Oryza sativa Japonica Group: one gene and its partner. The main gene of each other region encodes a partner of the protein of the gene in region 2 in a complex. Links are inferred from orthologs where the notes say so. Each region holds a gene or a part of one and is shown on either strand. Other genes may lie near its edges.

What was found. The genes of interacting proteins can lie anywhere in the genome.
Region 1: retinoblastoma-related protein 1 (region 2) and transcription factor E2FC share a complex: the UniProt entries of both Arabidopsis thaliana proteins name them as parts of the DREAM-like complex. The link is inferred for Oryza sativa Japonica Group from reciprocal best matches to the Arabidopsis thaliana genes RBR1 and ATE2F2.

The regions. Positions count from the first base shown.
Region 1 is NC_089038.1:711,966-717,351, forward strand, and holds the start of transcription factor E2FC, read right to left. Parts: upstream 3,595-5,386; 5' UTR 3,455-3,594; coding exon 3,059-3,454; intron 2,139-3,058; coding exon 1,976-2,138; intron 1,855-1,975; coding exon 1,798-1,854; intron 1,725-1,797; coding exon 1,639-1,724; intron 1,522-1,638; coding exon 1,433-1,521; intron 1,351-1,432; coding exon 1,296-1,350; intron 331-1,295; coding exon 278-330; intron 193-277; coding exon 142-192; intron 66-141; coding exon 17-65; intron 1-16. UniProt on the Arabidopsis thaliana protein: Involved in transcriptional repression. May act by repressing E2F-regulated genes in mature differentiated cells, but is not an antagonist of E2FA.
Region 2 is NC_089042.1:27,067,675-27,072,412, reverse strand, and holds the end of retinoblastoma-related protein 1, read left to right. Parts: coding exon 1-143; intron 144-249; coding exon 250-443; intron 444-525; coding exon 526-1,402; intron 1,403-1,497; coding exon 1,498-1,633; intron 1,634-1,718; coding exon 1,719-1,791; intron 1,792-1,932; coding exon 1,933-2,109; intron 2,110-2,242; coding exon 2,243-2,362; intron 2,363-2,450; coding exon 2,451-2,586; intron 2,587-2,667; coding exon of another isoform or gene 2,668-2,670; coding exon 2,671-2,783; intron 2,784-2,912; coding exon 2,913-3,028; intron 3,029-3,121; coding exon 3,122-3,275; 3' UTR 3,276-3,620; downstream 3,621-4,738. Other genes in the region: uncharacterized LOC4346175 precursor, read right to left, coding at 4,685-4,719. UniProt on the Arabidopsis thaliana protein: Key regulator of entry into cell division. Acts as a transcription repressor of E2F target genes, whose activity is required for progress from the G1 to the S phase of the cell cycle.

The DNA of each region.
Region 1 (5,386 bases), on a different chromosome or scaffold from region 2:
CCAGAAGAGTCCTGACCTGAAAGCGAGGAATCGCATTGATATCTTCCTTCGAAACATACAACAACCTAAAAAGAAAAACACAATGATTCAGTTGACTATATAAAATATAAAAACTGCCATAATTGCAAATGGGAATCTTACTTTCTTCTGTCCTCATCGACTCTAAGGGCATTCAGTTTCTCTTGTGCTTCCCTGCAGAATCAGCAATTATCTATCAAAAGAGAGGGACCGAGACAAGAGAAATCAGATATATGTATTACTTTCAGGAAGTACTTACATTATTTCATCATCCAACCTGGACTCTTCATCATAAAGAGACTCAATTTCTTCCTGCAGAATATCAAAATCCAACAGGAAATTTCAAATGCAGGACAAAAATCTTAACATTCAAATGGAATGGCATGCGAACTGTCAGAGGATAGATTTGTTGATTTGTTGCATTGCCAGCACTTGAAACTTCAAGAAAGCCTCTAAATAAAGAAGAAGATTCATCATGGACTTAGGACTGAATTATTACGTTTTATTTTTACAGGCATACCCCAGCATGCCAGATCCACTAAAACTTCGCTCTAGCCAACCACTGTGGAAACATTTTTCTACCATTAAAATACTGGTTATGGTCAATTTATCCTACAATCTGCACTCATACAGATATGGCATCAGAAATTACCAGGAAACATAAACCATAGTTTCCTTGGATGGTACATAAAATGGTACCGTAACAGTCATGGTGATCGAGTTCAATTCCAACAGCTGTTACCAATATTATTTTACTTAACGTCATTGAAAAATAAAAGTTAGCCAAAGTATAATTGGTTCAAAAGCAGCAAAATAATTTTTATCTTGGTTCAATTTAGTTCAATTGGGATAATATGTATCACTGATTCTGTCTTCATGTAGTAAAATGATACAACCACCTTGTTACAAGGATGAGTACAGTAGTCTTTTAATACCTAGGCATATGCTCCAATAGTTGAGTGAAACGATACAGGAGAGGCCTGCCCTAATGCCCAGTTGTGATACATGAAGTAGCTTAATGTAATAAAAGAAGGGCACCATTTCTAGTACAAACACATAACCTACTGATAGTTCATGGTTCAATTTAAATTAGTCCACTTTCTGACTTGAAAAACAATAGAAGTAAAATGAGAACAATCTACCTCTATCTATAAAGATTAAAGAAAAAGAATGGAACTCATAATGATGTGTGTATAATTTACTTATGTGTAGCTTTAGGATAGTTAAAAGCATAAAATATGTACAGAATGAAGAGCATAAAGTACAACGGTACATACCTTCAATGCTGAGATTTGTCGTTCTCTCTCCTTAGGCTTTGACATATCAAAACCCCTTTGAATGTATTTATTTTGTCAGTAAAAACCTAAAATTAACTTGTGGAATGCATTAAGAAACATAAACAAATTACACTTACTTCCAACGAATCATATTCTTCAGTGTCTTTTCGATTAAATCTACACCTTCTAAAACATTTGTTATATCATATATCCTCCTCTTTTGCACCTACAGAAATTTATTAAAATATGGTACATCAGGGCACTTCACTCTTAGACAATTAAAAAGATTGAATGTCTGACAAGCGTGGAAAGCATTTTTTTCAATGATAATACTAAACCAGACCTCCAATGTCTCAGCCGCTTTATTTAAATCAAGGGTTCCATCTTCTGCTCCTTCAAGAAGGTTGATGAACTTCTTTGTAAGAAGACCTGGCAAAAGGGTAACAATTAATAAGAAACATGAAGCATTTTTTTTCATTGGGAAAAATGCATCATACTTTACCTAGCGAGCTGTCATAGCGACAGTTGTTTGGTGAAAATAAAGAAGGCCCAGCATCTCCTGAAAAGAAAATTAGAATGAACAACAGATGATAATCAAATGCTGGTATGAAACTTTTACAATGAAATTATCAGAGCAATGCACATTATGTAAAGTGGATAGAATATAAGCAGGACCGCACCTTCATTTGATCGAAGACTACCTTTTTTAAAACCTTTTGGTTTTCTAGGCCGTTTGATGCCTTTTACTGCCCCAGTTGTACATTCTTTATCAGGCCCTTGCACAGTCTCTCCTTTGGCGACTTCAGACTGTACAGTTTCTCTTTCATTTTTCTCCTCATTGTCCTAAAACATATGCACCATTCACAACACAACATTGTCAATTATCAAACATAATGTAACTGATCCAGCAACTATCTTGGAATGCTACGCTCCATTATGAAGATCAAGTATAACATCCATGAGCCTGAAAAATGGTCTCCTCAAAAGAGTGAAAGAGAATATGCAAATACTACAAGTATAAAACCCTCATTCCAACATAATACGAACCATAGTTGCAAGATTTCTCCAACCAAAAGGTAGGGATTGACTTGTACTATAAGCTCCTAGTACCAGGACAACCTCCTAACTCCTAAGGCCAGGTACCAAAGGTCGAAACCATCTACTCCAAACATTATATGCTATCAAACCAAATTCTAGCACATCATAAAAATCACTTGCTTATACATACTCCTACCAAACATGTTCCAAAGAGCTGATCTAAGTAGAAGAACCTGGTAAGCTTTACATAAAAGCAACTGCAGATGCAGATTAGTTTGTTGCCTGCAGTGGACAGTGCAGATTAGTTTGAACATGAGAAGCACCTGACAGAACTTAATCTAACACAGTCTTTTCCAAACCATATTTACACGTATCGATCTTACAGGTTACAGATGTCGACTGCAACATTACATTGTTGCCATTGGTCCTGAAACTGAGACTAAATAGAGTACCATTGCGCAAAGGAAGATTTGAAGCAGGCAGAGCTCAATCGATTCGGCCGTGCATGCCAAAATTTCTACTAAAGCCATCTTCGTGCCAACCTAAAGTTGTCCCAACCAAATTAACATCCCCGAACACATCTACCAATCCATAACATCCAAAATTGAATGATCGAATCATGCAACCAAACACTAGAATAAAGCTTAATACAAGCATCAATCGATTGAAACAGTAATGGCAAGGAGTAGACGGATTAACTCGGGGGGGACATTCCATTGACTCACCGCCGCGTTGGCCATCGGATTCCCCGTCGCGGGCGCAGCCACCTCTTCGGTAGCTGTAGCCATAGTCGTAGCCGGAGGCGGCGCCGCCACGGCGACCGCAGGCTGCTGCGGAGGCGGGCGAGCAGGCGTGACCGCGGGGGCGGCGGGAGGAGGAGGAGCAGTAGTAGTTGACGGCGGGGGCGGCCTCGGGGGCCTAGAGGAGGCCGCGGCGCGGAAGATGGGGATGGGAGAGGCGGCGCGGAAGTAGTGGACGTGAGCTCCGGGGGGCGGAGGCGCGTGGTGCGGGGCCGGCGGCGGCGGGAGCACGGAGCGGCGGAGGAAGACCTGCGGCGGCGCGGGCGCGGGCGCGGGCGGGGTCGGCGCGGGGCGGGGCGGGATGGCGGCGGATCCGTCCATGGAAGGAGAGCGCGAGGTAGGGTTTCGCCGCGCCGCTCGCCCGAGTCCGAGTCCGAGACGGCGGCGAGGAAGCGAGAGAGCGCGCGCCGCTTGGAGACGAAGAAGAGGAGGGAAAAGAGGGGGGGAAGAGAGAAGAGGAGGGGAGGGAGGGAAGGGGACGAGAGAGGGAAAACAACTCAACAACTTCTCCTTCTCTCTCTATCTCTCTCGTTTTCTTTTTTTTTTCTCTCTCTCTCTCTAACTCTCTTTCTTGCTCCTTCACCCTCTTTCTTCTTGCTTGTGTGGTTTATTCATTGGGATCCATGGGGTATTTATCGAGTTTACCTCGTGATAGTTTTGGTATGTATTTGTTTGAGGATTATCGTGTATATACGGGAATATGTTCACATCTGAATGTACCTGTTGTGATAGACGTTGCCGCTGGTCTTATCCGTGGTAGGGCTCATGAGTCAGCGGCCGATCGTGTCGATCTCGCTTAATATGGGGGTATGGGGGTCCACAGGTCAGTGTTGGTTTTGTAGAGTTGGGGTGCGTGATTATCTGTTTCTTAAGCAAACATAGTAAGCCAGCTACGCATCGCGTATTTGTTGCAAGTATTTACGTTTATTGCTCACAGAATTACCTACTTTATTTGGTTAGAGAGACAACGTAGGAAGTAGGAGCCAACGTCTAACTCTAGTTGGGTATTGCAACGGTAAAAAAAATTGCAATGAAAACGCACCACTTTTCTTGTTTTCGGACAGTTCTATTTGCCTAATATGTTGTAGATCAAATATCTCGCTATTACAGTGCCAACCATTAGCCAAAGTATGTTGCAAGGCATAGCTCATTGCCATGTTCGATATGTCAACTTGCAACTTTTGAGATGTGCAACGCAGTCTAGCCGAACAGCTACATCACTTCAACGGCTAGTTCTACGGAACAAGCCCCATGTAGATATCTACTATCGTTGTGGCGTCAATATATTAAAACAAGTCTAAATTCGAGTTAGAATCAATTACACAAGTCAACAGCTACGGACATGTGTAATTTTGGGAAAATTTAGACAATGTCACTTGAGGAAGTATGTGTAGGGCAATGATACATAATAAAATACAATCCCCTCATCATCTAAATATGATTACATGAAACACTATCTTACATTGTGTTTCACACATACTACTTGAAAAACGAATATAAAATGTTAAGAATATATCTAATATTGACGAAATTAAACCATGGCTTATCTTTTGATTAAATTCCCACAAATTTATTAACACATGTATTTAACAGAACGTATCATATATCCATTTGTATAGAGAAATGGCAATTAGAAAATGCCAACAGAACAAAAAGAAATTCTTAGCTCATGGTAAAAGTGAAGACAGAGTACTTTGATTAGCCAATGAAGCAAGAAGTAAGATTATATATAAAATCAGTGGGGTGAGTTGGTGTAATTATGAAAACCATGGATGGATGAAAGAAACAGAAAAAGCCCACACGCACACGCACACGCACACGCACACGCTCTAGAGCGAGGCGGGGAGCGCGCGGAAACGGATCCTATGCACGTTTGCCGCATCGGTGCACGGTGGACGTCCGCTTCTGACCCGTGGGCCCCACGCTGTACGGCGGTCAGCGGTCCACGTAGGCAGGGTTCACGTAGGTAAGCAGCGCCTGCTCTCGACTCTAGTTGGGGGAAGCGGGAAGAGAGAAGGGAATCAAGCGAAGGGAATCAAGCAAAGCCGTTCACCACACGCTGACGGTGCGGGCCCACCAGCCGAGACGAGGGCCCACGTGTCACTGCCTTGCAAGCAAGCACGGACGCGCGCATCCTTTTTCCCCACCTGACGTGTCGTCTCATGGGGTGGGGCCCGAACGCACTGGCCCACATGTCATGGTATCAATCCACGGGAGACGGCATGAGACGACTGGATTTTTCACATTTTGGTC
Region 2 (4,738 bases):
ATGTGAAAAATACCATACATCAGAAGATGAGTTGAGTAAAGCAATCGAGAAGACAAATACTCTCATAGTGGATATTCTGAAGAAGAAACCATGTCCAGCTGCTTCAGAATGTCAGCAGGATAGGTTGTCTTTTATTGATCCAGGTATGAATGTGATCTTCAAACACAATTATTTCCATAGTCGAGGTTTGTGTTTCAGGAACTTGTTGCCATCCATCTCAACTTCCTTGCTTCTTGTTGTTTGATGCAGAGGGCTTGACATATTTTAAGAATTTGCTCGAGGAAGACTCATTGAAATTAAGTTTGCTAATGCTGGAAAAGGAATATGAGAATGCAATTAACACCAAGGGAGAATTAGATGAGCGCATGTTCGCAAACGATGAGGACAGCTTGCTTGGCAGTGGAAGTCTGTCAGGAGGTGCCATCAATTTACCAGGCACAAAGGTAATTAGTGTTAAGCCTACACATGTTCATTCAACTTAAAACCCCAAATCTTATGTTTTAACTTTACCTGTGGGTATTGCAGAGAAAGTACGATGTTATGGCCTCACCTGCAAAATCAATAACAAGTCCAAGTCCGATGTCTCCTCCACGGTTTTGTGCATCCCCTACTGGAAATGGCTACTGCAGCTCAAAAATGGCTCCTATCACCCCAGTGAGCACAGCCATGACAACAGCCAAGTGGCTTCGGAGCACAATCTCTCCCCTTCCTTCAAAACCTTCCGGGGAGTTACTGCGCTTCTTCTCAGCTTGTGATAAGGATGTGACAGATGACATTACACGCAGAGCTGGTATTATACTTGGAGCCATATTCACAAGCAGTTCTTTCGGCGAACGTATATGTACCAGCGTGCGAAGCACAAACAGGATTGATGCTATCTGGACAGAGCAAAGAAAAATGGAAGCACTTAAGCTATATTACAGGGTTCTGGAATCAATGTGCAGAGCAGAGACTCAGATCTTGAGTGGGAACAATCTTACATCGCTTCTGTCTAATGAGCGATTCCATCGGTGTATGATTGCTTGTTCTGCTGAGTTAGTGCTGGCCACTCACAAGACAGTCACAATGATGTTCCCAGCTGTGTTAGAGAAAACTGGCATAACAGCTTTTGACTTGAGCAAAGTCATAGAGAGTTTTGTTAGGCATGAGGATACACTTCCACGAGAGCTGAAACGTCATTTGAATTCACTTGAGGAACGGCTCCTGGAAAGCATGGCATGGGAGAAAGGCTCATCAATGTACAATTCTCTGATTGTTGCCAGGCCAACACTATCTGCAGAAATAAACAGGCTAGGTTTATTGGCTGAACCAATGCCATCACTTGATGCCATTGCGGCGCACCATAACATTTCACTCGAGGGGCTGCCACCTCTTCCCTTTCAAAAGCAAGAACATTCACCAGGTAGCCCACTGGCATGCTACCTCATGTTTCATTGCCTTTGACTTTAAAATATATGAAAGAATGGTTGAACTTACAAATTTTGGTATTTCTTGTAGACAAGGATGAAGTTAGATCTCCCAAAAGAGCATGCACTGAAAGGAGGAATGTGCTGGTGGACAACAATTCATTTAGATCACCAGTCAAGGATACCCTCAAATCAAAGTTGCCTCCTCTCCAATCAGCATTTTTAAGGTTTACATCCCTTCCTGATTCCTCTTTAAAGTCATTAGCTGGTTGCTCAATTGTCTTTTTTTTTTTTGCATGTTCTTGATTTCAGTCCAACAAGACCTAATCCTGCAGCAGGGGGAGAATTATGCGCAGAGACAGGAATAGGTGTATTTTTGAGCAAGGTGAGTGTCTGACCATACTTTTTGTTCAAAAATAAGTGTCTGACCATAATTTATGTTCAAAAATAAGTGTCTGACCTTAAAGTGCCTTAATATGCACTAAAATTCTTACTGATCGCACTGCAATGTTTTTGTCCTGCGCAGATAGCAAAGCTTGCAGCTATTAGAATCAGAGGTCTTTGTGAAAGGCTGCAACTTTCTCAGCAAGTCTTGGAGCGAGTGTACTCCCTTGTGCAACAAATCATTATCCAACAAACTGCTCTATTTTTCAATCGGCACATCGATCAGATTATACTATGCAGCATATATGGAGTTGCTAAGGTCTGTCTAGAAATTACTCCCCTTGCAACAAAGAAAGATTTCGCTTGTTATGATTGCTAGTATATCTATCAATTGCTGTTTTTCCAGATATCTCAGTTAGCACTCAGTTTTGTTTATTGGTCCATGTGTGCAGATATCTCAATTGGCACTGACATTCAAGGAAATTATTTTCGGCTACAGAAAACAATCTCAGTGCAAGCCACAAGTTTTCCGTAGTGTTTATGTTCATTGGGCATCACGAAGCCGCAATGGGGTAACTGCACTTTCTTTTCAGTGTTTCAAGAATTTTTTATGTTTAAATCGCAATTATTCTGAAAGTGTGTTTACTCTTATGGCATCAGAAAACAGGGGAGGACCATGTTGACATTATCACTTTCTACAACGAAGTATTTATTCCTACTGTGAAACCTTTGCTGGTTGAGCTAGGGTCTGGTACTAGTCCAAACAAGAAGAATGAGGAAAAATGTGCTGCTGATGGTATGCTAATGTACTTGAAACAAGTTTGATCATTGTACTGCTAGAATTTAAAGGCTTTTCTGAAAGTGCTTGCCATATTAGCAGGTCCATATCCAGAATCTCCTCGGCTATCTCGGTTTCCAAACCTTCCTGACATGTCTCCCAAGAAAGTTTCTGCTGCTCATAACGTATATGTTTCACCCTTGCGCACATCAAAGGTACGCCTCAAGAAATAAACTGATCTCCCTTGTGAAGTTTAATGTTGCATTTATAATGACCACCTGAATTTTAACTATAATGGTAGTCCTTGATCAATGTTGTGACATTGCAATAACTGAATGTTTCAGATGGATACTTTGCTTTCCCCAAGCTCCAAGAGCTATTACGCCTGTGTAGGGGAGAGTACTCATGCATTTCAGAGCCCCTCCAAGGACCTTAAGGTTATAAACAACCGCCTAAACAGGTAAAACTAGAAAGAAGCTGGAAAAGAAGTCTTTTTATCCTTATTTCACTAGTGAGAGGAAAACTTTGTCTAAACTATTCTCAATTTGTGCAGTGGGAAGAAAGTCAGTGGAAGACTGAACTTTGATGTTGTCAGTGATTTGGTTGTTGCCAGAAGTCTCAGCGATCAAAATAGCGCATCAGCAGCAGCAACAACAGCAGATATCGCCACAAAAACACCAGTGAAATTGGAGCAGCCAGACTGCTAGTTGTTTCAGTTATACCACATCACCTGTCCAATACAACCTACTGACGGAAATGCTAATCTGTTAGGTGTCAGCTGATCTAATAGTTAGATGTTCAGAAGCTCCATTTTCTCTGTTTATGTTTCCTGACATGGGGAAATTTCCTCAGTGAGCAGCTCTTGTCTTCTGTCACATATAAAAGAGCTGCCCTGAGACCCCCTAATTAACCTGCCTCACTTTACTTCTGCTTTTTCTCTTTGAAGAGTTGATACTACAGTCATGTAATGTAGTAGCAAGTTTAACAGCTTTTGTAAATGAAATTTGGCTCTTGTCAAGCCGGCTTAGTTGTGAATTTTTCTTGCTGGTTTCTTTCGGTTCTGTCATTATGTGTTACTTTTATTGTTACATGTCAGCATCTTTGCAGTATTCAATCTGCATATTGCAGCAGGACGTAATTTTTTTTTCATGGGATGAGCTTTTACAGGTCGTTCCAAATCAGATTGTACGACTATTAAGCTGTGGTTGTTTGCTAAGTCAAAACCAAGAAAATTATGCAGCATTGTTAATTCGTCCTTGTATTTTTCATTGCCTTGTCTTGCAAGAACGCTGATACTGTGCCAGCACTATATATATTCCCATCAACTTGTTTGGACTTGATGTTGATGGCATTAGGAATAGTTCGTTAGCAGATAATTGACACAATTAAATTAAATAATCGTCTTAGATCAACGCACAAAGCATCCTAGTTGTCCCTTTCCTGCATTGTTCTGGTCATAATCTGTCACTGTCTGGATGACACAAGGCATACAAGAATGAGAAGAAATCTAGGACGACAACTGGTTGCAACACGTACGATGATGTCTATCTGAAAGTTTTTTTTTTATTATTTTATTATATTTTTAAGGAGGCGTACTATGAAAGCTACAGAATCATTTCAAATAAAAAAATGCTACAGAATCATACTACCCAATGATCGAGTTTGGTGGCTAATGTACATTTTAATAGTGTGTATGTGGATTTTGATGTTAAATTTCATTGGTCTGCAAGAGCTCAAGTATATAGATCATGTTACATGCATACATAAGCCAGTATATAACTATTCATTCCATTACCTAAAAACCATATACATAAATACTGTATACACCAGTATATAACAGTACAACAGTACAAGAGATTGTACATCTGGTTCCCAGTTTTCACTAGCTTCTTCAGAGTAATACTATTATTTGGAGAAAGATGTCTGCCAATGCCCTTGTATATGACCCAGTTTGATATATTAGTGCCGTAGTGCCACAGATCATCAGAAACTACTGATGGTTCATCAAAATGACACAGCAAACTACTCCTATGGTCTGCCATAGTTCAACAAAAAAACCCAGGCAACTTATTTGCTTACATCTATGCATCATCTTCTTCAGGTCCAACTTGAACATTCAGAGATTGCTCGTCAGCCATGTCGGTAAGCACCCTACAAATGCGCAAAATCA